Linked DNA regions of Canis lupus familiaris. The protein of the gene in region 3 binds, or shares a complex with, the protein of the main gene of each other region. Links are inferred from orthologs where the notes say so. Each region holds a gene or a part of one and is shown on either strand. Other genes may lie near its edges.

Region 1 (5,630 bases), on a different chromosome or scaffold from region 3:
TCAATGCTTATGACTCTCATTTCTTTTTGTCTTACTGTAGCTGGTCCTCAGAATTCCAAGATTCTGGAGGTGCTTCAGGGGTTCTCCAAATATCTGCCTCCAACTTTATTTTAGTATTTACCTGCTTTTAAAAGTTTATAACATTTTAAAAAATCTAAAACTCAGTCTGATCTTGGTACTGATGCCCTATTAATTCACTCTCCTCATTCTTCCTGGTACTTTGCTTTTTCTTCCACAATTTTATATTTACTTTCCCATGCTGTTATAATCCTTTTCTGCTCTTCATTCGCAGAGTCCACAGATAATTAGAACCTACATTCTCTGACTCTACAGAAAACTAGAGGCAAATTCAGAAAACAGGATACACTGTCTCATGAAAATGATTTCCTACTACCAGAATGCCATATTCCTCATGGGGCAGTGATAAATAACTGAATTAACTATATCCTCCAGAAGACAAACTACCTGTACCAAAATACAAACTAGGAAAGGACACTGGAAAGATTGATCTTTGAAGTTGGAGAGATAGCTGATTTTGAGGATGAGTTGCACACTTACCTGGAATTTTAGACAACTATGTTTATACCAATAAAACCAATATTAAACCAAAATCTATACTCTACTTTTCATAAGGAATGATCACTTAATGAAAATCAATTACCAAAATATAATTCTGGTAGTGAGAAAGGAAAAGATCTAATCATGGAAACTGATCTTGATGCCAGTAACTTACCTGCTACCACTCATTACATAACCCGAGCATTCAAATGATGCAATTTCTTCACTTGTCAAGCCAATTTCACCTCTTCTTGGGATACGTTTCCCAGCTTTTACATATTCAGCCATAGCTGCACCCTCACCAGGTAACAGAGCATGGCCATAGCTACAAAGTAATTCAGAATTCAGAAAAGGTTCATTATAAAAAGTATATCATCTAAAGAGAGCACAAAAAGATTTTCTCTCAGAAAACAGCACAAATAACAGTTGCTGAGTGGCAGCATGCTGGGAAGCCCAACATGAATTACTTTAATTAGTGAACACTGCACTCTGACCTACATAACTAACCCAGAAATACAGACATGCTTTGGAATAACAGAAGAACTGATGTTAGTGAGCCTAGATTCATGGTTTACAATTACGGATCAATTTATCCCTACAGGCACTGCCTTTATGGCTTCTGCCTCCAGTGAATTCCTTTCCCGTTTAACCCCTTAAAGAAAAAAAAAAAAAGAACTAACATATCTCAAATTAACATACTTTTTAGACTCAGAACCAGTAACAATGCTATACAATAACAATTATCTATTAACTTTCATTTGAGGGGACTTTAAAAACTATCATCCCTTCGATTCAATTCATTGACTACATCTTGAATACCTATTAAACTCAGAGCTTATAAGACAAAAATAATCTCTCTTCTTATGGAATTTATATACTGATAGGGACATAACTGCAATACAATGCAGAACATATAAAAAACACTGCACAGAAGAAAGAGAAAATACCGTGAGGACTAGAAGATTAAAGAGGGGTAGGAATCCCATCTACTTGTAGAGAGAAGGGTCCTGGGAATCAGCACATGACCCCTCCTTTTGAAAAGAGCTTTGAAAGATGGTAAGGATGTTAACAGGATGAAATTGGGAGTAGTGAAGAAACAAGGGCAGGGAAAAGAAGTGAAGGCATGTTGGGGGAAGACATAAGGTGAACAAGGCATGACGTGGGAAAGTACACAGTAAATATAGGGACGTTTTAGTTCAGCTCATTTGGAATTTGGCATGTAAATAAGGGCATAGAGGGAGATACAGCTGGAAGTTGGAAAGGTAAGTTAGGGCCGTACTTTCAGGAATGTACTTCAAGATATTTTATTTATATTTATTTTTAAAAAGATTTTATTTATTTGAGAGAGAGAGAGAGTGAGAGAGAGCAGGGGGAGGGAGAAACAGACTCCCTGCTGAGCAGGGAACCCGATGTGGAGCTTCATTCCAGGACCCCAGGATCATGACCCAAACTGAAGGCAGATGCTTAACTGAGCCACCCAGGTGCCTCTACTTTAGATATTTTAAATACACTGTTAACTTACTTCAAAGGTTTATCATCCTGAGAGGCAAGTGTTTTTGGAGCCTCTGGGCCAATTAAATCTGAGGGTTCTTCAGGCTCTACAGGAAAGATGTTCAGAAACAGATTCATATTTTGACTAGTTAATTTAATGTTTTATCTGTTCTGAGTCAAAGTCTACCAGAAGAACTTACTTGATCGATCCTTCCAGGGATTCTCCAGAAACTCTTCCTGGGAATCTTTAGAGCTTGAATCACTGGAATCTTTTCTACTCTTCTTAGATTTCTTTTTCTTGTATTTCTTCCTGTAATTATAATTTGATATAAATACACTTAATACTCCCACATTAAAGGGAATCTCACATTTTTTAGGCAATGAAAGGCTGATGAAAATGATTTAAGTTCTCAGCTGACTAAAATTTTTAGAGCAGATTTTTAATAAAAAAAAATTTTTAGGGACGCCTAGGTGGCTCAGCGGCTGGGCGTCTGCCTTTGGCTCAGGGCATGATCCTGGGATCCGGGATGGAGTGCCACATCGGGCTCCCTGCATGGAGCCTGCTTCTCCCTCTGCCTGTGTCTGTCTCTGTCTCTCATGAATAAAATCTTAAAACTTTTAAAAAAGATTTTATTTATTTATTTGACAGAGAGTACAAGCAGGGGGAAACAGAAAACAGAGGGAGAGGCAGAAGCAGGCTCCCCATTGAGCAGGGAGAGCAATGCGGGGCTTGATTCCAGGACCCTGGGATCATGACCTGAGCTGAAGGCAGATACCCAACCGACGGAGCCATCCAAGCACCCCTAATTAAAAGATCTTTTAACTTATTTAACCAAATCATGTTTCACTATAAAAAAGATTTCTCAAGGGACAATGAAATATGGTTCTCACATTGCAAAAAGATAACAAATCAGTTTAAAAAACAATTTGAGCATCAATAATTTGAAGTGTAATGATTAAAATATATCAACTATGTTTGAATCCTTGGGTTCATAATGATATTTAAAAAGTCCAACTCATTATTTTGAAAACTCATAAAACCAAGAAAGTTTTAGAAAAAGTCATTAACCTGCCTTTCCTATATAAACTGTACTTCAGAGTAACCAAATAGTTGATGAGGGTAGGTTTCTCTTATAGAATTATTTTACCTAATAAATGCAGAAAGACAGAAAAAAGCAAGCAAGCAAGAAAGCCAGAATTAGACTATCACCATTTTGTAATCCCTAATGAAATAAGGAATCTAAGTAATGACAATCCATGGCTATTAATATGACAAAAAGAGACAACCAGACATTATCTGGCTCCTGACAAAGTACACAGCAGCACCTATGAAGTATGTGCGCCAAAGACTCAAATCTGAACATCAATTCTCTAGACCTTACTGTCAATATATAGGAAATAGAGAAGACAGAGAACATGTTAAAAGCACACCATAAAAACACAGTCAGGTGTGTCTGGTTGGCTCAGACAGTGGAGCATGCAACTCTTGATCTTGGGGTCATGAGTTTGAGCCCACTAGGTATAGAGATTACTTAAAAATAAATCTTTTTAAAAAATAAAAAATAAAAATAAAAAACCTTTAAAAATAAAGAAAAAAATTAAATACAATCAGCAACTCGATAGGTAAATGATTTGGTTTAACAAATAAATTGCAAGAAAAAAAGGGAAGGGGAACCAACTGATTTAAAGACATGTAAGAAATGTATCAACCAATCACAATTTATGGGCATTATTTGAATCCAGATTTAAATAAACTATATAAAAACCTGCTGAGAATTGAGGAATTATTCCTAAATATCTTAGGCACAGTAACAATATTGTGATTTTTGATCACAATAACAATTATGATTTTTTAAAAAAGAATGGCTAACTTTTAGAGAAACATGCTGGTTTATGGACAAAATGATACCTGGGATTGGTTTTCATTTTTTTAAAGATTTTATTCATTTATTCATGAGAGAGAGAGAGAGAGAGAGGCAGAGACACAGGCAGAGGGAGAAGCAGGCTCCATGCAAGGAGCCCAATGTGGGACTCGATCCCGGGACTCCAGGATCACGCCCTGGGCTGAAGGCAGGCGCCAAACCGCTGAGCCATCCAGGGATCCCCTGGGATTGGTTTTCAAATAATGGGAGGGCAGTGGAGATTGTCCAAGGGTTGAAATTATTAAGCTAGGTGATGGTTACACAGGGGTTCATTACACTATTTATCATTATTTATTACTTTATTTTATATATATTTTAACTTTTCCATGATAAAAATTAAAGAGAAAACTGACGATCTATGTTTCTTCTTCTTTTCCTTTTTCTTGGCTTTCTTTGATCTTCTTTTTGTATCTTCATCTGCAAATTAAAGCACATTTTAATTAAAAACAAAAATTTAACTCTAAAACCCCAGAATTTTTAGTAGATAAATATCCTATTGCTGCCCTATTAGTTGTTACAGAGAAATTTATTTTTTAAAGATTATATTTATTTATTCATGAGAGATACAGAGAGAGAGGCAGAGACACAGGCAGAGGGAGAACCAGGCTCCATGCAGGAAGCCCGACATTGGTGACTCAATCCCGGGACTCCAGGATCACACCTTGGGCGGAAGGCAGGCGCTAAACTGCTGAGCCACCCAGGGATCCCCGAGAAAGCTATTAATTGAAACATTTATTGCTACTCATCTGGATATGTGTTCAGTACCAGGGACACAGAAATTAAAGTCACACTAAGTCTTCAGTGATACAGAGTATTATTAATTTTATTGGGTGAGATAATGGCATGGGGTAAGTAGGAAAATGTCATTGTTTTTTAGAGGTATATATAGTAATCTTTAGGGTAGTAGTGTGATATTTCTAATTTACTTTGAATATCTCAGCAAAAAAAGCTATTTAAAGCAAATGTCAAAATACTAAAAACTTAAAATCTAAGTGATATGTGTACATTGTATTATATTATTTTCCTTACTTTCTAATGTTTGAGTATTTTCATAATGAAGAAAGCAAAAATCCTATGTGTTTGGGCCCAGGGACATGCTTTCTAGGGGCTCAGTCTAATGGAGGAGGCAGACATAAAGAGATAAACAGAATCCAGAGTGATACAGGGAAGCATGGGGTGCTCTGAGTGTACAGAAAAATCTCATTATCAGGCTGGCCTAGGGAGAACTACCCTTAAGCTAGTTCTTTTTAAAATCAGTTTTATTACAAAAGTACTACATGACCATTATTGAAGTGAGTAAGCCAAGCCACATGCAGGGAGAGACTGGCACTGTACACAGATGGACTCTGTATCAAGTGACAGAAGCAAGAGAAAGAACGCAAAATACTGAGGAGATAGAAGATAGTTCTCAGGTTACAGAGGATGCTGCAAGAGTGACAGGATATGTGTGATTAGAGAAGGATCAATCAGGGTTTGGACTTTACCCTGGAAACTACAGAGTACTGAAGGATTTTTTTTAAGGATTTTAAGTAGGAGACAGACATACTCACATTTGTGCTTTAAGAAAGTTCATTCCAACAGTGAGAAAGAAAAGTAGCAACAGGAGCCAGGAAACCCAGGTGACATCAGAGGAAAAGACACCTTTACGTAATGTGTCCC
Region 2 (6,151 bases), on a different chromosome or scaffold from region 3:
GACTTATATATTTACATTTCTATTCTGTTGAGTAGATTAAGTATTTTTACTTAAAATGATTAAAGTACAAATACATAAATCTGTAAATGCCTTGATTCACAGATTTCTTGGTTCTTTATTAACTCCTGAAAACACACATATTTCAAAATTTACAAAAAGACTAAAAGTTTTATATCAAAGCAAACTAAATAAAACCTTGGATAAAAGTCTTTGCATCTGGGGTGCCTATGTGGTGGAGCTAATGAAATGTATCCCTTCAGCTCAGGTCATGATACCAGAGTCCCGAGTCCCTCTCACTGAGCTGCCATCAGGCTCCCGGCTCAGCAGGAAGTCTGTGTCTCCTCCCTTTGCTCTTCTCCCTGCTCATGCTCTCTCTCTCAGATCTCTCTCAAGTAAATAAATAAACTCTTAAAAAAAAAAAAAAAACTTTGCATCTTCCAGATGTGAAGGCATAGATGCCTCTAATAAAACAAGCTAACATCACCAAAGACAAATTCTGAAATCGTTAAATCAACAAGTTATAGGAATACTATTTATGGGCTAATCTGTAGACCTAATCCATCAAAAACTCAAAAAATTTATAATAAAGACAACAAAGCTTATCAATTTCTTTTATTATGCCTCAATAAGGTATTCAAAAAATGCTTCCTGAGTGGAATTTTAAAACCAACAGATTTCTAGAATGAGAATTTAAAAATTATTACCCGCTATTTCTGAAAGCCAGTATTAAAAGATATTTAGAAAGCTACATACAATCCACTGAGTGGTTGTTACATAAAGCAATTTAAGAGACAGACAAACATTTCTAGGAAACTAGATTCTTCCACAATAGATTTTTTATTAACTGATCTTTCTAACTGAGCTGTATTGTTATACGTACTACATTAACAATTTCATTAGCCTTTAATAACTTTTTTATATAAACAGGCTCATTTAAAACTTCATAAATACCTCAACAAGTTGTGCTTTATTAAGTCCTGGTCTGGTTGATAGTTTGAAGTGTCTTTTGTATCTCCGAAGTGTATTTACTTGTAATTGGTATAAATCAACCTAGAAAAAATAAACATGTAAGAATTAGTTCATGCAATTTTTAAATTGTTATCTTTGATATGCATAATAGCATTTCAATTTTGGTACAACAAAAATGTAATTAAGTAACAAAAATTACATTATTTAATTAATTCCATTCCATTACTTCTTTTACATAATCAAAACTACAAATATATAGAGCACTTCAATCTTTTGAAGGTAAATACTGAGAACTGGGAGCAAAAAAAGAAGGCAATAGAGGTATAAGCATTGTGAATTGAAAACATAAGTCAAACTACAACTGCCTATTAATTGGCTATATTTAATTTTGCTTTCATTTTCAGATTTTTCGCATTAAGTATTTTTAAAATTTGTTCCTATCTTTTAATAGAAGTTTCAGAATGGAATACTTAGGATTTACATTTAACATACAGAAACTTTACCTCTGGCGTATCGATATCTTGAACAGGTGAATCTCCTCCATCATCATCACTCCCTTTTCTCTTTCTTCTGTTTCGAACACTCTGAATTAAGTTTTTATGATAATCACAAATGTAAAGATGCCTTGCCTAAAACAAAAAAGTTTCACAGACTACTTATTATTATGTAACGTGTCTACGTATTAGTAAAATACATAGGGCACAGTGAATTATTAAAAATAAAAAGTCAAAATAGGCCATTGTTAAGACAACAGCATATTTCTATGCTTAAGTCCTGTATTCAGTTAGAACATACCGTGTCTGACAATAGGGTTAAGAGGATTGGAGAGTGGGGTGGGGAGGAGTGAAAGGAAGGAAGGAAGGGAAGCAGACAAGCAGAATGAGAAATTGCAATTGTCTGGATTTTTTAATTAAACTGTAGTGAGGGTGAATTAGATTTGTTAGGTCACGCTGTTTTTTTAATAAGTGGAAAGATGATGTTGCCCACAATTCTGCTACTGACAGTATTTTCTCTAAAGAGCACATTTTAGTAGCTTCATATCCTTTCTCAGTACTCAAATTATAATCCAGATACAAAACTATCCATTTTTACAAACGAGCTACCGATTTCATATACTACTTATATTTACATCTGAATTACAAGCTTCTGAGTATTTAATGAATGTATTTGTCTGTATTACGTTTTTTTCAACCAAAGGCAATGTGAAACTATTCAAGTTTACTTGAGAAGTGTCTCCCAAGCATGACTGAAGAACTCTTTAACAGGCATAATAGATCACAAACTTTGCAAAAGCTTCAATTAAATGTAGTCTTGAGCGCTGTATGGTAACATCTGAAATACTGGGCTGCATTATTAACAGTTTAAACTCCTTTAAAAAACAACAACAACAAGCGATTAAAGACTAAGGCTTTGAAATTTAACTTGTAAACGAAGTCCAAGTTAAAATTATGCAGGGCGTATGCTAGGTTCTGGCATCTTGTTATCCATTCACCGCCAGCCAAAACTCCGCAAAGTGCCAATGGTTGTTTCTGAAAACCTCACAGATGGTCAAAGAAACACAAGAAACGGACGTGTACAACAAGGACGGTAAAGGAAATCCGGATGCTGCCGAAGGGGTGGCAGCGCCGCAGAGGCAGCGGGCTCCCCACATTCCCGGCAGCTGCGCTGGATGCTGGCGGCGTCCACCAGCCCGGCGGTCTGCACCGCGCGGGGTGAGCTCGGCTCTCTTCCCTCCGCAACCCGGCGGACGAGCAGAGGAGTCGGTCTCCACCGCGGCACCAGGGCCTCGCTTGCAGGACTACACTTTTGCCTACAGCCGGGGGTTGCTCCCCGGGGCCACGCGCCAGCTTGGGCAGCAAAACAAAGGAGGAGCGGACAGGCTGCAAGAAAACTACTCCGGGCCCTCCGAGCCGCGGTGCTCTTTGTTTCGTGTCCCGACCTCAGGGAAGGAGGAAGGGGTTGGACGGCGAGCAGGGCGGACACCCGGAACGGGGTGGGGGTGCGCGGGGGTTGGGTAGGAAGGGTGGGGGTGGGCACGCGAGGGAGAGGAGGCGGGGGGGGGGCGGGGGGAGCAGCGGACCCGCGGCCGGCTGGCGTGGGTCTGCGGGGGAGGCGGTCCGAGTTGCGGCGACTTTGTGGTTCGCGTCCTACCCGAGACCACGCGACGGGCTCGCGCCACAGCCAGGTCTAGGGGACCCCCGAACCGTCCGCCCCTGAACCCCGGTCGGCACCGCTCCGGGAGCCCCAGAGCAGGGCAGGGCATGGCCGTCCCGCCGTCACTCACGCTCTTCTCCAGCTCGATTTTCACCTTCTTCTGGGAGATGCTCTTCTGGATCCTCTTGCTGAAGCTGGCGTTGCCCGCCGCCCGGCCGCACCGCTCTCCGTCCTCCCGCAGGCAGCACAGCTGTCCGGGGCCCGGCCCGGCCGCCCCCGGGGGCCCAGCAGCCGACACCGCCCCGGCACCCGGCACCTCAGCCCCGGCGCCGGCCCCTGCCCCGTTCCCGGCCGAGGCGGCCGCGGCGGCGGCGGCGACCACGGCGGCCACTGCGGCGGCCGCGTCCCCGCCGCGGCTCATCTCCTCAGGCGTGAAGCCATTCATGTCTCCGCGTGCCGACAGAAACCCCCGCTCGGCTCGCCGCTCCCCCTCTCTGCGGAGACTCCGGGGTCTCCGCGGGGTCCCTCAGACACCTGACCCCGCCGGGGCGATTCCTCCAGCGGCACCGCCACACACCAGGCGTCCCGGTCTGCTGTTGTCCGCTGGCGCCGGGATGGGGGACAGCGTTTGGGGTCAGAAGCCAGAACCGGGCGGCGCCAGGAGTTAGGACTCCGGTCACTGTCACATGGAGACGCTTCAGCAGTTGGACCCTGGCGCCTCCGCCTCCCTCCGGCCCCCCGACCTGCGCACGCGCGACGAGCCCTCTCCTGCCCCGCCCCTTCCACTGTGTGGCAGGGCACCATGGGAATTGTAGTTCTTTGAGGGGGAATCACTCTGAGTTCCACCCCGAACTGGGCGCCTTGGAACTACTTATGCTAGCATGCATCGCGCGGCGACGGGCAGGGCTTCGGCTGCTAATTTATTTATTTATTTATTTTAAGTCAGTGGGAAAACAGGGGCGTGTGGTTAGGGGTGGTGATGTTTTCTCGCTTCTAGTCTCTCCCAGGAAGTTGCTCCGTCTTTCGCTACCGGGATTCTGCAGTGTTGGCGTTCTACTAGACAAAGCGGCCACCCCGCTCCTGAGGCGAGGCGCAAAATGTTCTGGGCGGGAAGCTAGGAGGGAAGGTGCGGCGTGAAAAAGTTTCGGGGCCGTTTTCTTACTGTGGAAAAAGAATTTTTGGTGTGGCCATGCTTTTGTGGGACACCCAAACCAAGGAGAACTCGGGGAAGCTGGCGCTCTTCGGGTCCGGGAGATGCCGCAGGTCCCGGGTCACAGTTCCATTCATTGACACACCAGCTGAGGCAAAAACGCCCTTCCGACCTCGACCGTGACAGGGCCGCTTCCCAAGTGCCTCAGCTGAAGGCCGTTTTTAAATCCTTGCACGTTCCTGCGAAGATCGGGTTTCATTTTGGGGCGATCAAAGTTGGCCGCTTCCTGCGGTGGAGCGGCTTCTTTCCGCCTCCACCCCCACCCAACCTTCACCGTTTCTCTTCTAAAGGCCCTAGAGAAAAGTGGGATCCAGGACCCTGTCCAGGGGGACGTGGAGCCCCGATATAGTTAGCGTGAGTGCTCCTCGGAAACTTCCCGGCGTTCTCTCTGCGGAGTGAAAGGCCAGAAAGAACCCGCATTTCCTGGGGTATCCGCCCGCGCCTGTGCGTGTAGAGTGCGTGCGTGCGTGTGTGTGTGTGTGTATCCGCCCGCGCCTGTGCGTGTAGAGTGCGTGAGTGCGCGTGCGTGCCCGTGGGCGCGTGCTTGTAGGGGGCGGGGCCGGGGAATGGAGCGGCTGATAGGAGCGCGTGCGCCTTTGCCGGTTGCTGCGCGTCACTGTGACTGTATCGGATGTGTCCTGTTTAGCCGTCCTTTGGCTTAAATAAAAATACGAACCAGGTTCTTTTGCAAGTTCTTTCAGGCTTGCTGAGTGAATTTAGTGATAGATGATTTTTTAAAAAAACCTAAATGTCATCTGCCCTGAAATTCAAAGCCATCCATTCCGTCTGTGCTTTTCAGTTCTAGGCTATGGCAAAGGGAAAAACAAAAAACAAAAACAAAAACAAAACGTTAAGATATTATTACGTAAATTGAATGAGCAAAAGGAAGATGCTGCATGGTAAGTATGTTGTGTTACCCTTTTTATTTTTTAAGATTTTATTTCTTCGTGAGAAACAGAGAGAGAGAGAGGCAAAGACACAGGCAGAGGGAGAAGCAGGTTCCCTGCAGGGAGCCCCATGCGGGACTCCATCCTAGGACGCTGAGATCGTGACCTGAGCCCAAGGTAGATGCTTAACCACTGAGCCACCCAGGTGCGTCTTGTGTTTTGTTTTTTAAGCTGCACTCTCCAGTAGGGTGTCTGATAGCCCAATGTGCCTATTGAAAGCTTGAAATGTGGTTATTTCTACTGAAAAACTGTTAATTTAACTTTAAATTTAAAAAACAGATTTCAGTTATTGTAAAGACTTCAAGTGTGTTTGGAACAGCTTAGATACATGAATACATTTTTTTTTCTATCTAAATTTTGTGAAATCTAAACTTAGAACCCAAGTTGAGATGTGCTGCAAGTAAGAACTGCTGACAGGATTTCAAAGACTTAGTACTAGAAGTTTTTAAAAAACTATAATGAATGGCTCATTGATACTTTTTATATTGATTATATGTTGAAATGATAATATTTTGAATTTACTGGTTTAAATGAAATATAACATTAAAGTTTACCTGTTGTTTTAAATGTGGCTACAAGAACGTTTAAATGTTTACATATGTGGTTCACATATTTTTGTTAGATAATGCTGGCTTAATCTTTTAAACAGAATACTAGTATCTGTTGTTTGTGCATGTATTTTCTTAAGTGGTGAAAAAGGAGAACATATGGACAGGATGGATACAGTCCAACTTCAGGGTGGGGTTCCTATCTCAGGAGAGAGGCCAAGGAATTGTATCTGGGAATGGTTTAAAGGTGGAGTCCGTTGTATTTGTAGGTTTTTATTTATTAGGAAAATCTGAAACAAATGTAGTATTAGGATGTTGGACTT
Region 3 (6,278 bases):
CACAGTATTTGACAACCATTCAATGTAAACAAGAAGTCAAGACTTTCTCTCTAAATATGCTGTTTTAGGAAGGTAAATTGGAGGACAAATACTTACATTGATAAAATTATAATTATTAATATGGGGGCAGATAGGTATGCAGAGGAGAGTGTGGGACAAGACTGCCATTACTAAATTCTAGAAGCAAAACAGGTGTAGTTACCAGTATTTTAATAATGATGAAATAGGAATGTTCTAGGGGACACTGTTTTAGAAGTGGGTAAGAAGGAATTCATATGGAAATAAAAGCAAAAACAGAAATGGAAAGGCAGGGCAGCCCCAGTGGCCCAGCGGTTTACCGTGGCCTTTGGCCTGGGGTGTGATCCTGGGGACCTGGGATCGAGTTCCACATCAGGCTCCCTGCATGGGGCCTGCTTCTCCCTCTGCCTGTGTCTCTGCCTCTCTCTCTCTCTCTGTGTCTCTCATGAATAAATAAATAAAATCTTAAAAAAAAAAAGTATACAGTTAAAAAAAAAAAAAAAAAAGAAATGGAAAGGCAATTCTCCAGGGACAGAATATACCAGAAATTTCTTTTGGTATGTTCCCTGAAAGTTTCTCCCACTGACTTCATACTTAGCAATGTAATGTTACAGTACAAGAAACACCTACATTTAAGATAGGCACATTTGGAATTTTTTACTGTAGCTCAAAGTGAAAACAGCTGCAACAAAGACACGCAGGGTGTCACTGTCTCATAGAATAACACATTAATAATAACTTTCAAGTGGAGAACATATTATTTCTAACAGAATAACTACCATTTATTTAAAGCTCTAAATTTTACAAAGTTATTTTACTAATCTCAATTGCTCAAGTGCTTAAATACATTTTGAGTACCATGGACTGAAATAAAAATAAAATACATTTTTGCCTTCAAAATGCTCAGAATATGCTGATAAAAAAATCACGTTAACTTCTGTATGTTTAAACTATTTCACGATAAGAAAATGAACTGTGCAAATAATAATAAAGTTTGATATCTGGATAATAGAAATATATACAAGAAAAATAAAACAAGACAGTGACTGGAGGACAGGAGGAAGGCTGGTATAATGGAATGCTTTATAGCAAGTTTTGCTTTTTAGAGTTAATTTTTCTAAGATTTGTTTATTTTAGAGAGAGAAGAGAGAGCATGCTCACATGAGGGGGGAGGGGCAGAGGGAGAGAGAATCTGAAGAGCCCCATGGCAGGCTTGATCTCATGACCCTGAAACCATGACCTGAGCTGAAACCAAGTGTTAAATATTGAACTAGCCACCCAGGTATCTCTAGAAGCTAATTTTTAAATTAGGTAACTATATTTTCAGGTAGCCAAAGTTATCATTTCTTATATATCTTTCCAAAGATGTTCTAATGCATATACACATAATCTTATATATATGATTATATATATACACATACACACACACACACACCCAATATATGTAACAAACATACATTCTTTTCTCAATCTTTTCATAAATGGTAACATATACTGCATACTTGCACACAAAATATGTATAAAATAAAACTGAATACTATGGAGATCATTTCTAGATTAGTTTAAAAAAAAAAAAAACTTTCTTGGTTTTGGGTGGAGAAGGGGCCGAATATCATTCTACCGTGGAGCTATCGCACCATTTATTTAACCAATCTCCCGCTCTACTGATGGGCATTTAAGCAATTTCTAATCTTTTGCTATTATAAACTTTGCTTCAACAAATAACCCCATACACAAGTAACTTTATACATGTTAAGCAGGGTTTTGAAGAAGTTCAAAATTTTGACAAGGAAAATACAGGGTAAGACATGTGCTATATCCACACAATGGAATTATTCAGCAATAAAAATGAATACAATACCGATACATTCTACAACATGGATTAACTTTTAAAACATACTAAGAAAAAAAATCATTCATAAAGGCCAAATACTGCATGATTCCATTTATAGGAAATTTAAGTTTAGGTGGAAGATAATGAAGGTCTAAGCTAAGAAATAGGCTGTAGTGACAAAGAGGAGAAATGAATTCAAAAGATATTTGGAAGGTAAGACAAACAATTTATTAGCTACCTAGATAAAGGGGTGATGGAAAAGGGATGAATCTGAATTTCTGGCCTGGGTAACAGAATGAAGGAATGTGTTACTACCTCTATTTCCTACCCATATGAGATAGGAAGTATAAAAAGATAAGCAGATTTAGGATGCGATACATATTCATTTCAGATATCCTGAGTTTGAGATGCCTGTAATGTGCCAGGATGATACTGTCTAGATCATACAGTTGTCTTGTACCTTGAGCTGGGGGAGAAAAGTGAGACTTCAGATTTCAGAGTTGTAAAGTAGTAGTTAAAACCATGAAAGTGGATGTGACTGTCTGGGAAAGCATATAAGGTAAACAAAGTAAGGCACAGGCCAAGGATGAAGCTCTGGATAACATATGTATTCTAAGAGCAGGCTAAAAATAAATGTGTGTATGGAGGGGGGGGGGGGCAATTAATACTTTATTGAGCAATCCCTCCATGTGGTGAGCCCGGTGCTAGGTGGTGCTTTGTTTCACAGCCTTTATCTGCACCATCTTATTTATTCCTAACAATTTCGTGGTAACGGATACTTGTCATTTTAAATTTACAAATTAGGAGACTGAGGATAAGGGATTTTAAATATTTGTGTAAGGTCTGGAGTTTAAAAGTGACTGTACTGAAATAATTACAATCCTGGTCGGATTCCAGAAAGGTCAGACTTTCCTATTTCCTACTTCACCACTCTGCTTTCCACGGCCATACTATTCAGCACGGGTTTTTCCGTACTGCACCGAGTAGACCTGTAACTGATCATTTAAAAAGCCCAACAGGGGCGCCTGGCTGGCTCAGCCGCAGAGTATGTGACTCTTCCTCTCCGGGGTCGTGAGCTGGAGCCCCGGGTTGGGTGCAGAGATTACTTTAAAAAAAATCATTAACTCCATAAATAAAGCCAAACATCGTTGTATATCTGAAACTAATGTAACACTGTGTACACCTCAATTTAAAAATATTACGTAAAATAGCCCAACTTCAAAGAGATGAGACAGACGCTACATTTTCGGGTGGGATAAAAAATAAAAATTTAAAAAAGGGGAAGCAAGAGGTGATCTTACTTCCCTTTCAAGATCTGAAGGAAACAGGGAATCACCTTTGGACAGGATGGCAGAGCTCAGAAGCCACGATCCCTGGGATCCGAAAAGACAAAACCAGAATCATTTGAGGAAGTAACTACGATCAGACTTCTTCGTTATCTTACAGATTTACATTCTAGCTGACGAGCCGACCGAGCAGACGAAGGCTTGCCCGTCTCCTGGCTGATGCCAGCTTCGCCGGCGAGCTTCTCCGGGGAGGAGAAGGGGCGAGAAGACCAGGGCTTCAGCCCGGGGAAGAGGCGACTGTCCCGGGAATCCCAAGACACCGCCACGGTCAGCTCCAGCAGCCCCGGGCAGCCCAGGCACCCCCGGCCGGGACCCTCCCCGGCTTCCCTTACTCACTTTTTTTTTTTTTTTTCTTACTCACTTTTTTGATATTGGATTTGGAGGCAGGATGAAAGTCCTTCTTGCACATGAAATTGGCGAAAGATTTCCCCATCTTAAAGCCCGAGCTGGGGAAGCTGGACGCCGGGTCTCAGAACAACGTAAACAAACGCGGCCGCCTAACCGGAAGTGCGCCGCCTGGGGCGGCGGGAACTTCCGCGGTCAAAGGTGACCACTTCCGGCAACTCGCGCCTTCGCCCGCCCCGCAGGCCCCGCCCCCTGTCAGAGGGCGCGTGCGCAGTGGAGCTGCCGAGCCGGGAGGTGCTGCGTGGCGGCCCGGGGGCTCCGGGAGGGGGTCGGCTGCGGGTGGGCAGGGCTGTGCGAAGGTGTCCCTTCCGCGGACTCTGACTCGACTTACCTAAAGTCTCCGCACCGATTGTCTCGTCTGCAATGTGGAAGTAGCGAATTCTCGTGCAAACTCTGGATGCTTCTGAAAGCTCTCGGTGAGCTAAAGCCTGTGCCCTGGAAATTGCCAAGGTCCACAAGGAGCGAGAGGGTTTATGTTTTGTTACCGGCTGTACCGTGTGCCTGATGTGCATAGGCATTTGTTGAATGATGAATGCGTATTTAGGAGCTGGCAAGGGCTCCCGAGCTTCCCCCACTGCTCTACCAACGAGGTGGCCTGTTCCCTAGCCTCTCCTGCGACCCCCGTCGTGCAGCTCCATGTTTTTTTTAAGATTTTATTTATTAGAGACACACACACACACACAGAGGCAGAGACACAGGCAGAGGGAGCAGCAGGCTCCACGCAGGGAGCCCGACGTGGGTCTCGATCCCGGGTCTCCAGGGTCACGCCCCGGGCTGAAGGCGGCGCTAACCGCTGAGCCACCCGGGCTGCCCCGAGACCCCAGGGTTTTGGGTGCCCGGAGCTGCTACTGCTGCAGGGGCTCCAGCAACCAAGCCCTCTGGCAGGGAGGCGGGGGGTGCGATAGCGAGAATAAACCTCTTGGGAGCAGTTTACCCTTTTGTCCAATAATAATAACAGCTTGCAGGGAAGGATAAGGGAGAGGCCCCCAGAGTCGGGCTCCTACCCACCCCGAGGAAACAGATAAGACGGTGAAGACAGGAAAAAAAAAAAAAAACAAAACCTAGCTCCCTAGCTCCAAAATGTTAGGGAGTTATCCCCCTTTACCTGGCTGCTAAGCGATCCCAGAGATCCAGATGTAGAGGGATGTTATGGAGGAGATCCTAACCAGAGGGGAACCCCTGGTTTGAGCTCGTGACATTTACAAAAACATCTTGTTGTGATGATGCTCACAGGCCCCCACTGTGTTCCTTCTAAATATCCACCGTGATATTGATAAGAAATTTACCAAGTTCCCTGGTCACTTTCCTATAAAAGACAGACCCTAAAAGCCCTGGGTGGTAACCCTGTCTGGACCCCTCTCCCTTTTGAGAGCTTTCTCTGTATCTCTGCTTAATAAAGTTCCATCGCTTTGCTCGCTCTCTTGTCCGCAAGATTCATTCTTGGACTACAAGAGACAAGAACCGAGCTCGCCTGTATTGATTTGTTCCATGCACTATGCAAAAAAGCTTGGATAAATAAATAAATATTTTTTAAAATGTTTAATATTTTTATTTTAAAATAAAATAAAATATGCACCCCCCCCGGGCGGGGGGAAGCCTGGGTGGCTCAGCGATTGAACGTCTGTCTTTGGCTCAGGGTGCAGTCCCAGGGTCTGGGATCGAGTCCCCCACATCGGGTTCCTTGCAGGGAGTCTGCTGCTCATGTCTCTGCCTCTCTCTGTGTGTCTTTCATGAATAAATAAATAGAATATTTTTAAAATATTAAATATTTTTAAAAATCCAAAAAAGCTTTATACATTGTCTTATTAAATTCTAATAAGAAAAAAAAATTCTAATAAGAGCCTCCTGAGGGATTTACCTACGAGGGGGAAGGCTTAGATGGAGATTAAGGAGCCTCCCCAGGTTGTGCAGTGGTAGAGCTAAGCTCAGAACACAAATAGAAGGCGATCCAGGACACAAAGGTTGAAGTTCACCCAGCGGCTAGTGACCTCCCTCCTCCAATAACAGGAAAAGAGAAAAAAGTCTTTAAGAGTTTCAGGCTCATGGTGTTTCTTTCTTGAGTCGTGCTGTTCTCTTTCGAATGAAAACATTTACCAGATTTATATTCTGTTTTAAATTGCTAGCATCTGTTTGTGTAAAGCCATTCTAAAGTTTGGTCATTATAAAATAAAGGAGAGCAGGAAACTCTAAAACAGTATGTCCACTCTGGAAGCACACACGTTCTATGGGAAATCAGGGGTTTAAGATTTTCCAAGTTACAAATGAAGACACAATCTTGATACTAAATTCTACAGTCAGGATTTACAAATTATTTCTGTGAGCTTCTTCCTGGAAGTATCAACAATTAGGAATTTTACTGACATGGTTTTGTATTTGTCTGATTCAGCGAGTCAGCTTTTAAAAAGCTTTTAAACTTTCAGTGTTCTCAGTATTACAATCTGTGGGTATTCTCGTTTGAGGAAATACTGGGACTTTTCATAAATTCAGGTGGTGAGAATACAAAAATTAATAAAGCGTACTCCCAGCCCTCAAGAACCTTACTGTCTAGAAGGAGACTCATGCGTGTACACAGATATGGAAATGCATATGTGTACACAGATATGGTCTACATAGTAGTAAAGTGCAGGGGTTTCCGAGTATGGAAACAGTGAAGGGAGATTCAGGGAACACATCAG
Region 4 (6,318 bases), on a different chromosome or scaffold from region 3:
TCATGGGCAGGGATAAGGAACCTGGTTGGTAGCTGGGGAAATGAAGGGATGGCCACTGGATTAAGGATCAAAGAAAGCCCTAAAGGGCTTTGGAAGGACACAGCTGCAGCCAAAGAGACAGAGGGAAGGACCAAAGACAGGACTTAATCATAACCAAACTAACAAAATGCGGTGTGGCTCCTAGCAATCCAAAAAACAGAGTGGAGCAGACTACTTAGAAAACATCAGAAAGGGGCAGCTGGGGTGGCTCAGCAGTTTAGCGCTGCCTTCGGCCCTGGGGCCTGATCCTGGAGACCAGGATCAAGCCCCACATTGAGCTTTCCTGCATGGAGCTTGCTTCTCCCTCTGCCTGTGTCTCTGCCTCTCTTTCTCTCTCTCTCTCTCTCTCTCGAATAAATAAATAAAATCTTAAAAAAAAAAAAAAAAAACTACAGCAAAACCGTATGTGAGTTTGTTCAGAACTAATACAAATGCACCAAACACCTACATCTTGGTCCATCTAGCCCATTCAGGCCATTTTTGGATTGCATGAAGGCTAGCTGACAGAACCAAAAAGAAGTTGCTATGATTCAAGTAGTCTAGACCATCTATACTCCCTTACTTTATCTCCTCTTCTTCTATTTCGTTTTACTTTTATCTGTACTGTTGACATGTCCTGTCCATGATGACTTTGGTCAGACATGATATTTAATGGTATCCACTGACGTTGCTTGGCCCAGTAAGATTAAAGAGCAGAGGAAATTCAAGGCTTAAAGCAAAAATCTCGGGGCACCTGGGTGGCTCAGTGGTTGAGCAACTGCCTTTGGCTCAGGTTGTGATCCCGGGCTCCTAGGATCAAGTCCTGCATTGGGCTCCCCACAGAGAGACGACTTCTCCCTCTTCCTATGTCTCTGCCTCTCTCTATGTGTCAAATAAACAAAATATTTTTTAAAAAAATAAAAAATAGGGCAGCCCTGGTGGCGCAGCGGTATAGCGCCACCTGCAGCCTGGGGTGTGATCCTGGAGACCCCGGATGAGTCCCACGTCAGGCTTCCTGTAAGGAGCCTACTTCTCCCTCTGCCTGTGTCTCTGCCCCTCTCTTTCTGTCTCTATGAATAAATAAAATCTTTAAAAAATAATAATAAAATAAAAATAAAGCAAAAATATCCACTATAGAGCCAGAGTTTGGTGCCAAAGAGTTGCCTTATTGTTTTAAGGTTGATATTGGACCATGGAGATAATTAACATTTGTTGATAACCTAACATGTGCTTTATATGTATTATCTATTTTAATCCTCACAATAATCTTGCAGAGGTAAGAAAACTGGTTCAGAGGGGTTGAGAAAGAATGACCAACGTCATAAAGCTAGTAAATGGTGGTTACTGGAATTTAATAATAGCAGTGACAGATAGCATTGCTTGGGGGTTTACCTGTGCCAGAGTTCTTCACATGAATTAGCTCACTTAATCCTTAAGTGCAACCCTATTAGTTAGGTACCATTGTCCCCACTCTACAGATAGGGAAACTGAGGCACAGAAAGAAACCTGGATCACACAGAGGGTGGTAGACCAAAGGCAGGCAGACCAATTCCATAGTCAATATTCTTAATCACCATATCATGCTGGATTTGAACTCATATCTTTCTACATTAAAAACTCAGGTACTGGGGCGCCTGGGTGGCTCAGCGGTTGAGCGTCTGCCTCTGACTCAGGTCCTGATCCCAGTCCAGGGATGGAGTCCCTCATCGGGCTCCCTCCAGGGAGCCTGCTTCTCCCTCTGCCTATGTCTCTGCCTCTCTCAGTCTCTCATGAATAAACAAAATACAAATAAAAACTCATGTACGTTTTACTATTCCACATTGTGACCTTGGAAAAGGAACTTTCTCTACTACCCGTAAATCGATCCAGTTCTATTTACGGACATCCTACCTCTAAGCCAGAGCTAAGGGGAGCTTTGCGAAACTCCATAGCTGTTAAACCTCTGCATCCCCGCCCATCCCAGGATCACCTTCCTGGAGAGAGAAGCCCAGGTCGCTGGGGCTTGGGAGAGTCCACGGGCCAAGACCCAACCTTCATTATGATGCCTTTAGATGCAAGAGGCATCCCCTGGAGCCTAGGCCTCGAGGGACCCGGTGGGTGTTTGGAAGGGCATGGGCCAGACCCCCTCTTGAATTTTCGGGTCCCCGCATTAGGCGCACTCTACGGCTTTCAAAGACTGAACTGTGGGCCCCGCTGTGCTCCCCTCCGCACCTAAGCTCCAGCCCCGAGAGCCCGCTCTCGTCCTTCCTGCCCCGCACTTCTCCACCCGCCTTGGCCCAGCGGGGAGCGCTCCCGGGCCAAATACCCACAGTCCGCACCCGAGGAGCCGGCCGGGCCGCAGAAGAAGCCCCCGCCGCGCGGCTCACAGCGCCTGCCTGCTTCCGGGCCCCAGCGGGACGCGGCCTTGCGGTTCCCATGGAAACCCCGCGGCTCGCCGCGTCGCGCTTCCGGGCCGGCTCGCGGCGCCCTCCAATGACGTCACAGGGCCACTTTCCGGCCGGTGGCAGAGTCGGGCTGAGGTTGGGGGGCGCCGGAGGAGCCATGGGGGCCACTGGCGACGCCGAGCAGCCGCGGGGACCCGGCGGGGCAGAGCGGGGCGGCTCCGAGCTGGGCGACGCGGGCGCAGCGGGGCAGCTGGTACTCACGGTGAGGGCGCCCCCGGGAAGGCCGGGGCCGGGGCTGGGGCTGGGCTCGGGCCGGCTGGGCCTCGGGCTCCCGGGACCCTGGCCCGCGGGCGAGAGAACGCGGCGGCTGGTGCTGCCCAGGGCGGTGGCGTTTTCGCAGTCCGACCACCCGGATTCAAATTCTGGTGCCGCCCTCCAGGCTAGGCGATGTGAGCCGGTCCTGTCACCTCTGAGCTCCAGTTTCCTCTTCTGTAAAATGGAGAGGATTGGTGCCTGCCTCGTAAAGTTGTTACGGGGATGGGGTGTAAAGGCGAGCAGAGCGCCCAGCACGCTAGCAGCCCCAGAGTGGTCCCTCGGTAAACACTGGTTCCCTTCCCTCTCCCATCCCAGAAAGGGTGGGGTTGGGACTTTTCCAGGCAGGAAACTTCAGTTCCTCCACCCCGGCAGGACCTTTCAACCGCTGCCCTCCCGCCTACCCGAGGGTGGGAGAGATGCTGACAGTACCTGAGAAGCAGAGGTGTCCACGTTTAACTTCATACTCACCGTCCACCTGTACCCTAGTGTCACAAGCCTCGGTGACATCTGTTCCCTTGGTCCCCACAGAACCCTTGGAACATAATGATAAAGCACAGGCAGGTGCAGCGAAGGGGCCGCCGCTCACAGATGACAACAAGGTAAGGCTGGGCCTGAGTATTGACCTCCCCGGCATTGATTGGCTTGGATGGCACCCTTGGGGTCCCCACTACACAGAGCTGAAGAGAGATCAGCAGCTGTTAGAAGGAGCAATGGACTAGGAAAAAGGAGACTCGGCTTTTGTCACTCTGGATGTGACCTTGGTTGAATCATTGCCACCTCTGAACTCTTGTACAAAATAGGAGGAATCATGAATTCAGCAGTGCCTAAGATCCTAACACTCACTCGCTCTGTGGTTGAGGGCTCTAAAGAGGCAAAATAGCATAGAGGTTTAGAAAAAAGTGGGGCTGGGGCACCTGGGTGGCACAGTGGTTGAGCGTCTGTCTTCAGCTCAGGGCATGCTCTCAGTCCAGGGATGGAGTCCTGCATCGGGCTCCCTGCATGGAGCCTGCTTCTCCTTCTGCCTGTGTCTGCCTCTTTCTATGTGTGTCTCATGAATAAATAAAATCTTTTTTTTTATTTTTTTAAAGAAAGAAGTGAGGCTAATAGTAGTATTTATCTCAGTGAAGGGAGAGAGCACAATGGACCCATGGGATCCTGATTAAATTTCTTGACCTGAGTAGTGATTAAGTGGATGTTCACTAAAACTATTTGTTAAAATGAAAAAAAAAAAAAAGTGTATAGACTTTGTATTTCATAAAACACTTTAAAAAATAATACTTATTTTGTAGGGTTCTTATGAAAATGGAATAAAGCCATACATATGTTTCATTTGCACAGAACCTGGGCACATAGCTTGTTTTCAATAGAAGCTATTACTGTTATTAAAGGAGCCTGTGTCAATAATTGGCTGGGCAGACTAGGAAAGATATGTTTGGGACATGACCCCTGACTGTGTCTCCCTCCTGAATGCAGTTTCACAGATCCTGCCATTTCCATGGACCTCCTTCGAGCTGTCCTGCAGCCTAGCATCAACGAGGAGATCCAGACGGTCTTCAACAAGTATATGAAGGTGAGAGGTACAGAGATGCAAGGGCAGACCTTTCCTACATTACAATCCCCCTCGCTCTTTTTGGTACAAACAGATGAGTCAGGTTTTCCAATTCTGAATCCCTGAGAACTTTTTTCGCCCTCTTTAGAGGTAATTTGAATACCTCTTTCGCCAAGCTATTATGAGGATAAAATAATTTAAGTTTAATGTGCTCTGCACCATGTTACAAACAAGTGTCTTTCTTATTTGTTTAACAGGATCAACATTATTATTATTTAAAATTCCTTTCTAGGCCTATAAATAAACTTCCACATGACTCTACCTGATTGTCCCCTAGATGCTTGAAACAGCATGTCCAGAGCTGAACTCTTTCTTCCTAAACCTCTTCCTCTTATGTTTGTTTATTCATTCAAGAAGCATGTACTGAGCACCCACCATTATAGCAGGCACTGAGGATGCAGCAGCAAACAAAATGAACAGTGTCTCTGCCCTCTTTAAACAAATAAGTACTATGCTAGGAAATGCCAGAGAGAAGGGGGAGAGAGTAACCAGTGGGGAACAGTAGTGCTGTTTCATAGATTGTGTCCAGGAAAGCCACATGTGAGCAGACACCTGAATAAAGGGAGAGAAAAACAAGCTGTGTGGACACATCAGGGGAAAACACCCCAGGCAGAGGGAACAAGAGCAGACACCCTGAGGCAGGAGTGTGCTTGGACACTCAAAGCAACAAAGTCTCGGGCAGCCCCAGTGGCTCAGCGGTTTAGTGCCACCTTCAGCCCAGGGTGGGATCCTGGAGACCTGGGATCAAGTCCCATGTCAGGCTCCCTGTGTGGAGCCTGCTTCTCCCTCTGCCTGTGTCTCTGCCTCTCTCTCTCTCTCTCTAATGAATGAATACATAAAATCTTTAAAAAAAAAAAAAGTCTCCAGTGTGGCTAGAGCAGACTGAGCCAGGAGGAGAATAAGGAGAGGTAATCAAAGAAAATAGGGGCCCAGTTCATGCAGAACCTTTGAGGCCATGGTAAGGATATTGGGGTTTACTCTGAGTAAAATAGAGGCCCTTTTAGACTTTTGGGCAGAGCACTGGATCTAAACTTTTTTTTTTTTTATCTAAACATTTTTTTAATATTTTTTATAGATTTTATTTATTCATGAGAGACACAGAGAGAGAGAGGCAGAGACACAGGCAGAGGGAGAAGCAGGCTCCATGCAGGGAGCCCAACGTGGGACCTGATCCCGGGTCCCCAGGATTATGCCCCGCCAAAGGTGGCGCTAAACCACTGAGCCACCAGGGCTGCCCTGATCTAAACATTTTTAAAGGGTCAGTCTGACTGATGTGAATCACCTGCAGGAGAATCAGTTAGGAGGCTTGAGAGGATAGTGGCTTGAGTGTTAGCAGTAAGGGTATTGGGAAAGAATCCCATTCCATATGTATTTTAAAGGGGTGTGGGAGGTTCAGTCAGTTAAGTGTCTGCCTTTGGCTCAGGTCGTGGTCTTAGGGTTCTCGGCTTAAGCCCTTCATCAGGCTCCCTGCTCAGTGGGGAGTCTGCTTCTTCCTGCCTCTCCCTTCACTTGTGCTCACTCTCTTCTTTCTCTCTGTCAAATAGATAAAAATCTTTAAATAAAAAATAAATAAGACAAAGGTATTGCTGATGATTCAGATGTGCAGGGTAAAAGAACAACTAAGGTAATCATGCAAGTTATCTGTCCAGGGCAGCTATAACAACAACGTTGCCACTGACTTGATATGAGGAAAACAGGAACAGGCAGGGGGAATCAGGAGCTCAGTTTTGGACACGTGAAGTTTGAATTGGACTACATTCACTTAGAAACCAGAAACCTAGGGCTCTGCCTTTCCTTCACCTTCTCCACCCAGAGTCCTGTACATTCCACTTCACAATCTGTCTTGCATACCTTTCTTCTTCCTCACCTCTGCCTTGGTTCAAGGCTCCTACTACAATTTCCAACTGCTGCTCTTCTTCCCCTGCATCCATACAGCTGCCAGTGACCTCTAAAGTATAAATATAAGGGTGTCACTCCTCTATTTAAAATCCC
Region 5 (6,240 bases), on a different chromosome or scaffold from region 3:
GTGCTTAAGACTATTCCTGTACACATGTCCTACTGCATATAAGAGTTTCTGTACAGTGACCCCTGGGCTTGCTGGGGCACGGGATACATTACATCTTTAATTGTATTCAGTAAGTCAAATTTTTCTCCAATGTGACTGTCCCAATTTTACCTATTATGAGTTCCCATTGCTCCACCTGATAGGAAATTTTAAAAATTTGCCATGCTGGTCAACATGACAGGATGTCTATGGTTTAAATTTGCATTCTCTTGTTATTGTGGCTTGGTCTCTTTTTATAGGGTCCCTCTGGGATGAAGTGTCTCTTCATAGCTTTTATTTTTTTAAATCAAGCTATTGCTTTTACTTGTTTTTAAAAATAATTTTTGAAAAAAATAATTTTTGAATGCTAATTTTTTGTGTTATATGTCACAAGTTATCTTCTTTGTCCATAAAGTGTTAAATGTTTGTCAAAGGATGGGAAGATACTGATTTATTCCAGGAGTGTAAGTCCTGTTCTTTAAACTCCCATGAACCAGGATCCCTGAGTGGCGCAGTGGTTTAGCGCCTGCCTTTGGCCTAGGGTGAGATCCTGGAGACCCGGAATCAAGTCCCACATCAGGCTCTTTGCATGGAGCCTGCTTTTCCCTCTGCCTGTCTCTTTCTCTCTCTGTGTCTCTCATGAATAAATAAATGAAATCTTAAAAAAAAAATTCCATATTCTAAAATGTTTGCTATATAAGTAAAAAAAAAAAAAAAAAAAAAACTCTCCTAAATTGAAAGGTGTTTAATTCCTGTCTTTGCAGAACTTACAAGGCGTTACACAATCCATGCCTAGTATACCCTTTTCTTTGTCCACATAGATGCAGCCACATTGGTCTCTGTTATTATTCAAATGGATCCACGTCTTCCTGTCTCAGGGCCTTTGCACTTGCTCTTCCACCAGCTATTTTTAAAATCTTTTCCTTCAGGTCTCTGCTCAGTGTAACTTCACCAGAGAGACCGTCACTGACCTGTTATCAAATAGCATCCTCTGATAATCTCCGTTCTCTTTTCTTCTTTAAAGTATAACCACATTGCATTCTAAATGTATTTTCCTGTCTCCTACTGGAGGTATGCTCTTCAGTCCCAGAGTCACTAAGCTACCTGTGGCTCTACTCAAAATGTGACTGCTCTGGATTAAGATGTCCAGACTTTCCAAAAAAAAAAAAAAGGAACTTATTAAAAATTTTGTATTGATTACATGCTGAAATAACATTTTGTGTTTTTTTTTTACAATTTTATTTTTTGACACACAGAGAGAGAGCATAAGTAAGCAGTGGTAGGCAGAAGAAGGAGAAGCAGGCTCCCTACTGAGCAGTGTGACCCATGCCAGGCTGGATCCCAGGGCCCTGAGATCACGACCTGAGCCCAAGGCAGGTGCTTAACCAACTGAGCCACCCAGGTGCCCCAACATTTTGGTTTAGGTTGTACTATTAAAGCTAATTTCATGTCATTGCATCCTGTATCATTTGGACAGCGCTGCTGAGAACACAAGCTCGAGCGGGAATGTGCGTCTGACTCAGACATTGCTCCGTCTGCTCTATCTCAGATCAGAAGCTCAATAAATATTTGCTCAATGAAGGAATCCAAAAGTAGAATGCTGGTCTTTTTCTTATCCTCTCTGTTCCGTCCGTCTAACCCAGGGATCAAAAAAAAAAAAAAATCAAATCAACAAAACTTTACTGAGATATTATTTCCATAAAATCCAACCTTTTCTAGTGAATTCAGCACGGCGTGCAACCACCGCCGCTCACTTCTAGAATCTTTCCATCACCCCAATCAGATGCCCTTATGCTCCGGTACGGGGGGGGGGGTCCCCATTCCCACCCAGGCGCCTGCAAAGCTGCTCTCGAACTCCTCAGATGGTCGGGGTTCACTTCCTAGGGGATGAGTTGCCCGTCTTGGGGGCTCTGGGGTAGCACCCTCAGGCCACGGCTCACCCCGGTCCCATCCCTCCGCCCAGCAGGACCCAGCGGGGAGCTGGACCCCCACCCCCACCCCCACCCCCGGCACGACGGGGCCGCGTAGCCGCATCTTCCCAGCCCACCGAAGAGCAGGTCTTCGCGGCTCCCGCTCGCGCCGCGGCTGCCTCGAGGGACCCCGAGACCCGGCCGGGCGGGACCCCGCCCTTGCAGCCCCCACCGCGGGCCACCGCAGCTCGGAGCGGCCGCTGGGAGCCCGAGTCCCCCGCCGCTGCGTTCTAACGCCGCCCTCCAGGAACAATGGCCGGAGCCGACCGACTCCGGGCCTCCGCGTGCGGGTGTCGGGGAGCCCGGAAGGCCGGCCCCTCGCCACCCCCGTCCCCGCCCCCGCCGCAGGCCCTTCCCGGGCTCCACTTTGACTCTCTCCCAGCCTCAACTGCCCCCCTCGCAAAATGGCGACCAACCGCCTCCTTTCCCGCCTGCCGTCGGTCACCTGACCGCACCAAGCCCCGCCCCTCGCGTGGCCCCGCCCCCTCCCGTCCGAGGCCCAATAGCTGCGGAGACCTCGCCGCCGGGCGGCACGCGCCGGGAGCCCGGGCGGCGCGAGGGGCGCGCGAGGCCGCCCTGGGTGTCGTGGGGGGACCCGCAGCCACGCACGCGCGCCCCCGCCGCGGGTGAGCGGGCCGCTCCGGGGGCGGGCTGAGGTGCGCGTGCGCGCCCGGAGGCGGGCGGCGCGAGGGGGGCAGGGGGCCGCTGGGAGGCCCGCCCGGCGCGAGGCTCGAGGCCGGCGCGCGAGCCCCCGGGGGCGGGTAAAACCCGGTTGCTGCTGCCCCTGCCCCCTCCCTTTCCTCCCTACCCCCCCCTTCCCGCCCCTCCTCACTTTTCAACCCCTCCCCCCCCTTAAAATCTAATTCGTTTATATATTTGTTTTTTAGGGGGCCCATCTCCCTTTCGAGGAGCGCAGCAGGCGCGGCGGGCGCCCCTCACCCCGCGTCACGCACGCACCTTCTGCACCCCAACAGCTCCGGGCCCCGCTGCACCCCGCAGGCCCTTCGCCCTTGGAGAAGGCTCTCCTGGGGGGGCCCCTGGCCCACTGCATCCCCTTCCTTACCTCCCCCGCCCCGCAGGCCCCAACTGCCCCCTCGCAGCCCCCCCCCGGCTCGCGCCTCGGGCCCTACCGACCTCGGCGCTTTCTGCACCGCGGCCTTGCATTCGCTCTAGCTTCCAGGCCTTCTGCTAAAAATCACCTTTCCTCCTGAATAGGGGACCCGAATTTTTCTTTTAGGATCTTCCAGCAAAACCAAAAATCTCTTCTCTTCTTTGATTATACCCTTCAACCTCCTTTTAGAAACTTTCTCTAGCAAAAAAGAATATAAATATATATATATATTTTTTTCTTTTCTGGATTTTTCCTCCATTCAGGATCTCTTTCCAGCAAAAATTTTCTGCCCACCAAGAGCCCCCCTTTTTGTCCTATCTTTCCACTGATAGCAGAGGAGCTCTGTTCTTCCAGTTTCTCATGTAATACTTGTTTTTCCAACGCTCTTCTCGACCTCTTCAGCAAAAATCCCTTTTTTGTCCATCACCAGTTTTACCCCAATTAGGCTTTTCCCAGCAAACCCCTCAGGTCCCTTCCCTAGGAAGGAAAGTAAGGAAAAGACAAAAATAACTCCCTTAACTGCAAAACCCTTTCCCTATCTAGATCTCCCCAATTTAGTATTGCTTCCTTCCTTCTTCCAAAAATTGCCTGTCATCCCCACAGTTTCACACCTGTGTGCTTGCTTCTTTGGGGACCCAAGTTCTGAATGCCCCTTCCTTTCCACCAGCTGCTTTCAGGACACAAGAAGTTGGATGAGTGTCCTGAATTTGCTACCCGGAGTTCCAGGAGGAAATATCCAGTGGTCTGACGGTCACCTGAACCCCCTCCCTGTGGGTCCTAAATTGGGCCCTCCTGTTCCCTGGAGATTCACTCATTTGTTCTTCTCCTGGTGAGTTTTCCCCTTTGCCCCTGTCCACAGATCCCTTCTTTGTCAGGATTCCTTCCTTTCTCAGAAGGATTTCTAATTGGCCCAAGTCTCTGTACCGATGATGAAACCATTATAAGTTTCTGCTTTGTGAGGTCAGATAAGGAAAAGGTTATGTATAGTGCATATTGGTAAATGCCTGCAGTGTGATGAACCAAAGGTCACGTGCCCCATCTAAGTGATACCAGTCAGTGGAAATGCCAGGACAGTGTTGCCAGAACTTTAAAAAAAAATTGTTTTTGAGAAGAGACACTATATTTATGTCAAACCTTTTGATCTGTAAATGGTGACAATGAATTTAATAGGTATTTAAAGGCAGTGTGGAGCCCTTACAAAACATGCCAGCTGGCCACCAGTTTGGAATATTTGGTTTAGGGTTTCTTTCTGTGTAAGACTTGCATACACAGATACTCACCCACTTGGGCACATGTGGATGCAGGACTTTTCCTCTTTACAGCCACAGTTCTCTAGCTTTTTGATCTTAGGGCTCCCCCCCTTATATTTAAAAATCATTGAAGATCCCAGAGAATTTGTGCACGTGAACTCTATACTGCTGATATTTGCACTATTAGAGGTTTAATACGTTTTTAAAATACTTATTCATTTATTTATTTATGATAGTCACACAGAGAGAGAGAGAGAGAGGCAGAGACATAGGCAGATGGAGAAGCAGGCTCCATGCACCGGGAGCCCAACGTGGGATTCGATCCCAGGTCTCCAGGATCAGGCCCTGGGCCAAAGGCAGGCGCCAAACCGCTGCGCCACCCAGGGATCCCTACTTATTCATTTAAAAATAAGTGATAAGCTTATTATGTTAACAAAATTGACTATTTTAAATATTTTTTGAAAGATGATATTTCAGAAAGAAATTTCGTGAGAATAGTGGCATTGTCTTACCTTTTGGAGTCACCTAGAATCTTATTTCTGCTACTGCATTCAGCCTTTTGAAATATTCCCTGTAGCTTCTGGAAAGTCTCACTGAGAATGAAAAAGGCAGGTAATGTCTGAATATTATTATGAAAATAGTTTTGACTCGAAGAATCCCTGCAAGACTCTGAGGACCCCCCAGGTTTCCCACCCCCATCCGCCTCACTTGGAAAACCTGCTGTTCTAGATGTTAATGCTTATTTGTATTTTATGCTAGGATCAGCTTTTGGAATGAGAAGGCTTGAGGTCTCTTTTCCTCCCTTAGTTAATTCTATGTGAGAAATTTTCTTAGAAAGCATAGTCATAGTTTTCTGATTCCTCCTTGTCTTCTATCTAGTTCTTAATGTGAGCTGTAAATCTGTTCTTTTAATGAGCAGAAGAGATGAGTTACCCTAATGGTTTAAATTATAATGGTTACATGATCAAGGGAGGGAGTGTTCTTTGGTTGTTCAGCTTAGGAAAGGACGTACGGCACATGGGGCAGGAGTCCCAGTCTCAGGTGTGGAATCCTACCATAGATGAGTGGTTACATGTGACGGTTTTGACATCAGAATACCCGGGGTTGAATTCTAACCTTGATCTTGGGCAGTTACTTAACTTCTCTGGGCTTTATTTACCTCATCTGTAAAAACAGGGTTAAGAACAGAGGATGTGCCTCAAAGGAGTGTTGTGGGAATTAGATGATCCATAAGTGATTCCAGGAGTGCCTGGCATAGGACAAAGCCTCAAGTGTGTGCTGCTATTGTTGGTATCTATATTGATCATAATTATAGGGGCCAGACAGGAAGAAAGCAAGGATCTTTGGGAACATCTGTTCAGAAATGGCAGTTATCCCTCATCTCTGTCCTACTAATAACTATCACGAAATGCAAAATCTAATAATTTTCAAGAAAAGCCAGAAATTAATATATCTAGTTGAAATCTCCCCATTAAAAAAAAAGTTGGTGAATGGGACGCCTGGGTGGCTCAGCAGTTGAGCATCTGCCTTTGGCTCAGGGCATGATCCCTCCCTGTCCAGGAATCGTGTCCTGCATCAGGCTCCCTACAGGGAGCCTGCTTCTCCCTCTGTCTGTGCCTCTGCTTCTCTCTGTGTGTCTTTCATGAATAAATAAATAAAATCTTTATTTTTTTTAATTTTTTTAAGATTTTATTTATTTATTCTTGAGAGAGAGAGAGAGAGAGGCAGAGACACAGGCAGAGGGAGGAGCAGGCTCCACTCAGGGAGCCCGATGTGGGACTCGATCCCGGGTCTCCAGGATCACACCCTGGGCTGAAGGCACATGCTAAACCACTGAGCCACCCGGGATGCCCATAAATAAAATATTTATAAAAGGGGATCCCTGGGTGCT

The links.
Region 1: CIR1 (region 3) and NKAP share a complex: the UniProt entries of both Homo sapiens proteins name them as parts of the notch corepressor complex. The link is inferred for Canis lupus familiaris from reciprocal best matches to the Homo sapiens genes CIRSR and NKAP.
Region 2: CIR1 (region 3) and SAP30 share a complex: the UniProt entries of both Homo sapiens proteins name them as parts of the histone deacetylase complex. The link is inferred for Canis lupus familiaris from reciprocal best matches to the Homo sapiens genes CIRSR and SAP30.
Region 4: CIR1 (region 3) and DNTTIP1 share a complex: the UniProt entries of both Homo sapiens proteins name them as parts of the histone deacetylase complex. The link is inferred for Canis lupus familiaris from reciprocal best matches to the Homo sapiens genes CIRSR and DNTTIP1.
Region 5: CIR1 (region 3) and ZNF541 share a complex: the UniProt entries of both Homo sapiens proteins name them as parts of the histone deacetylase complex. The link is inferred for Canis lupus familiaris from reciprocal best matches to the Homo sapiens genes CIRSR and ZNF541.

The regions. Positions count from the first base shown.
Region 1 is NC_049260.1:92,606,925-92,612,554, forward strand, and holds part of NKAP (NF-kappa-B-activating protein), read right to left. Parts: intron 4,389-5,630; coding exon 4,325-4,388; intron 2,360-4,324; coding exon 2,250-2,359; intron 2,157-2,249; coding exon 2,081-2,156; intron 884-2,080; coding exon 734-883; intron 1-733. UniProt on the Homo sapiens protein: Acts as a transcriptional repressor. Plays a role as a transcriptional corepressor of the Notch-mediated signaling required for T-cell development. Also involved in the TNF and IL-1 induced NF-kappa-B activation.
Region 2 is NC_049246.1:24,119,258-24,125,408, reverse strand, and holds the start of SAP30 (histone deacetylase complex subunit SAP30), read right to left. Parts: upstream 3,883-6,151; 5' UTR 3,569-3,882; coding exon 3,254-3,568; intron 1,599-3,253; coding exon 1,473-1,598; intron 1,051-1,472; coding exon 952-1,050; intron 1-951. UniProt on the Homo sapiens protein: Involved in the functional recruitment of the Sin3-histone deacetylase complex (HDAC) to a specific subset of N-CoR corepressor complexes. Capable of transcription repression by N-CoR.
Region 3 is NC_049257.1:18,771,145-18,777,422, forward strand, and holds the start of CIR1 (corepressor interacting with RBPJ 1), read right to left. Parts: upstream 3,729-6,278; 5' UTR 3,632-3,728; coding exon 3,560-3,631; intron 1-3,559. UniProt on the Homo sapiens protein: May modulate splice site selection during alternative splicing of pre-mRNAs. Regulates transcription and acts as corepressor for RBPJ. Recruits RBPJ to the Sin3-histone deacetylase complex (HDAC). Required for RBPJ-mediated repression of transcription.
Region 4 is NC_049245.1:33,723,680-33,729,997, forward strand, and holds the start of DNTTIP1 (deoxynucleotidyltransferase terminal-interacting protein 1), read left to right. Parts: upstream 1-2,521; 5' UTR 2,522-2,559; coding exon 2,560-2,664; intron 2,665-3,245; coding exon 3,246-3,316; intron 3,317-4,190; coding exon 4,191-4,287; intron 4,288-6,318. UniProt on the Homo sapiens protein: Increases DNTT terminal deoxynucleotidyltransferase activity (in vitro). Also acts as a transcriptional regulator, binding to the consensus sequence 5'-GNTGCATG-3' following an AT-tract.
Region 5 is NC_049222.1:109,164,581-109,170,820, forward strand, and holds the start of ZNF541 (zinc finger protein 541), read left to right. Parts: upstream 1-2,569; 5' UTR 2,570-2,614; intron 2,615-2,708; exon of another isoform or gene 2,709-2,749; intron 2,750-2,883; exon of another isoform or gene 2,884-3,766; 5' UTR 3,767-3,928; intron 3,929-4,861; exon of another isoform or gene 4,862-4,942; intron 4,943-6,240. UniProt on the Homo sapiens protein: Transcription regulator which is essential for male fertility and for the completion of meiotic prophase in spermatocytes.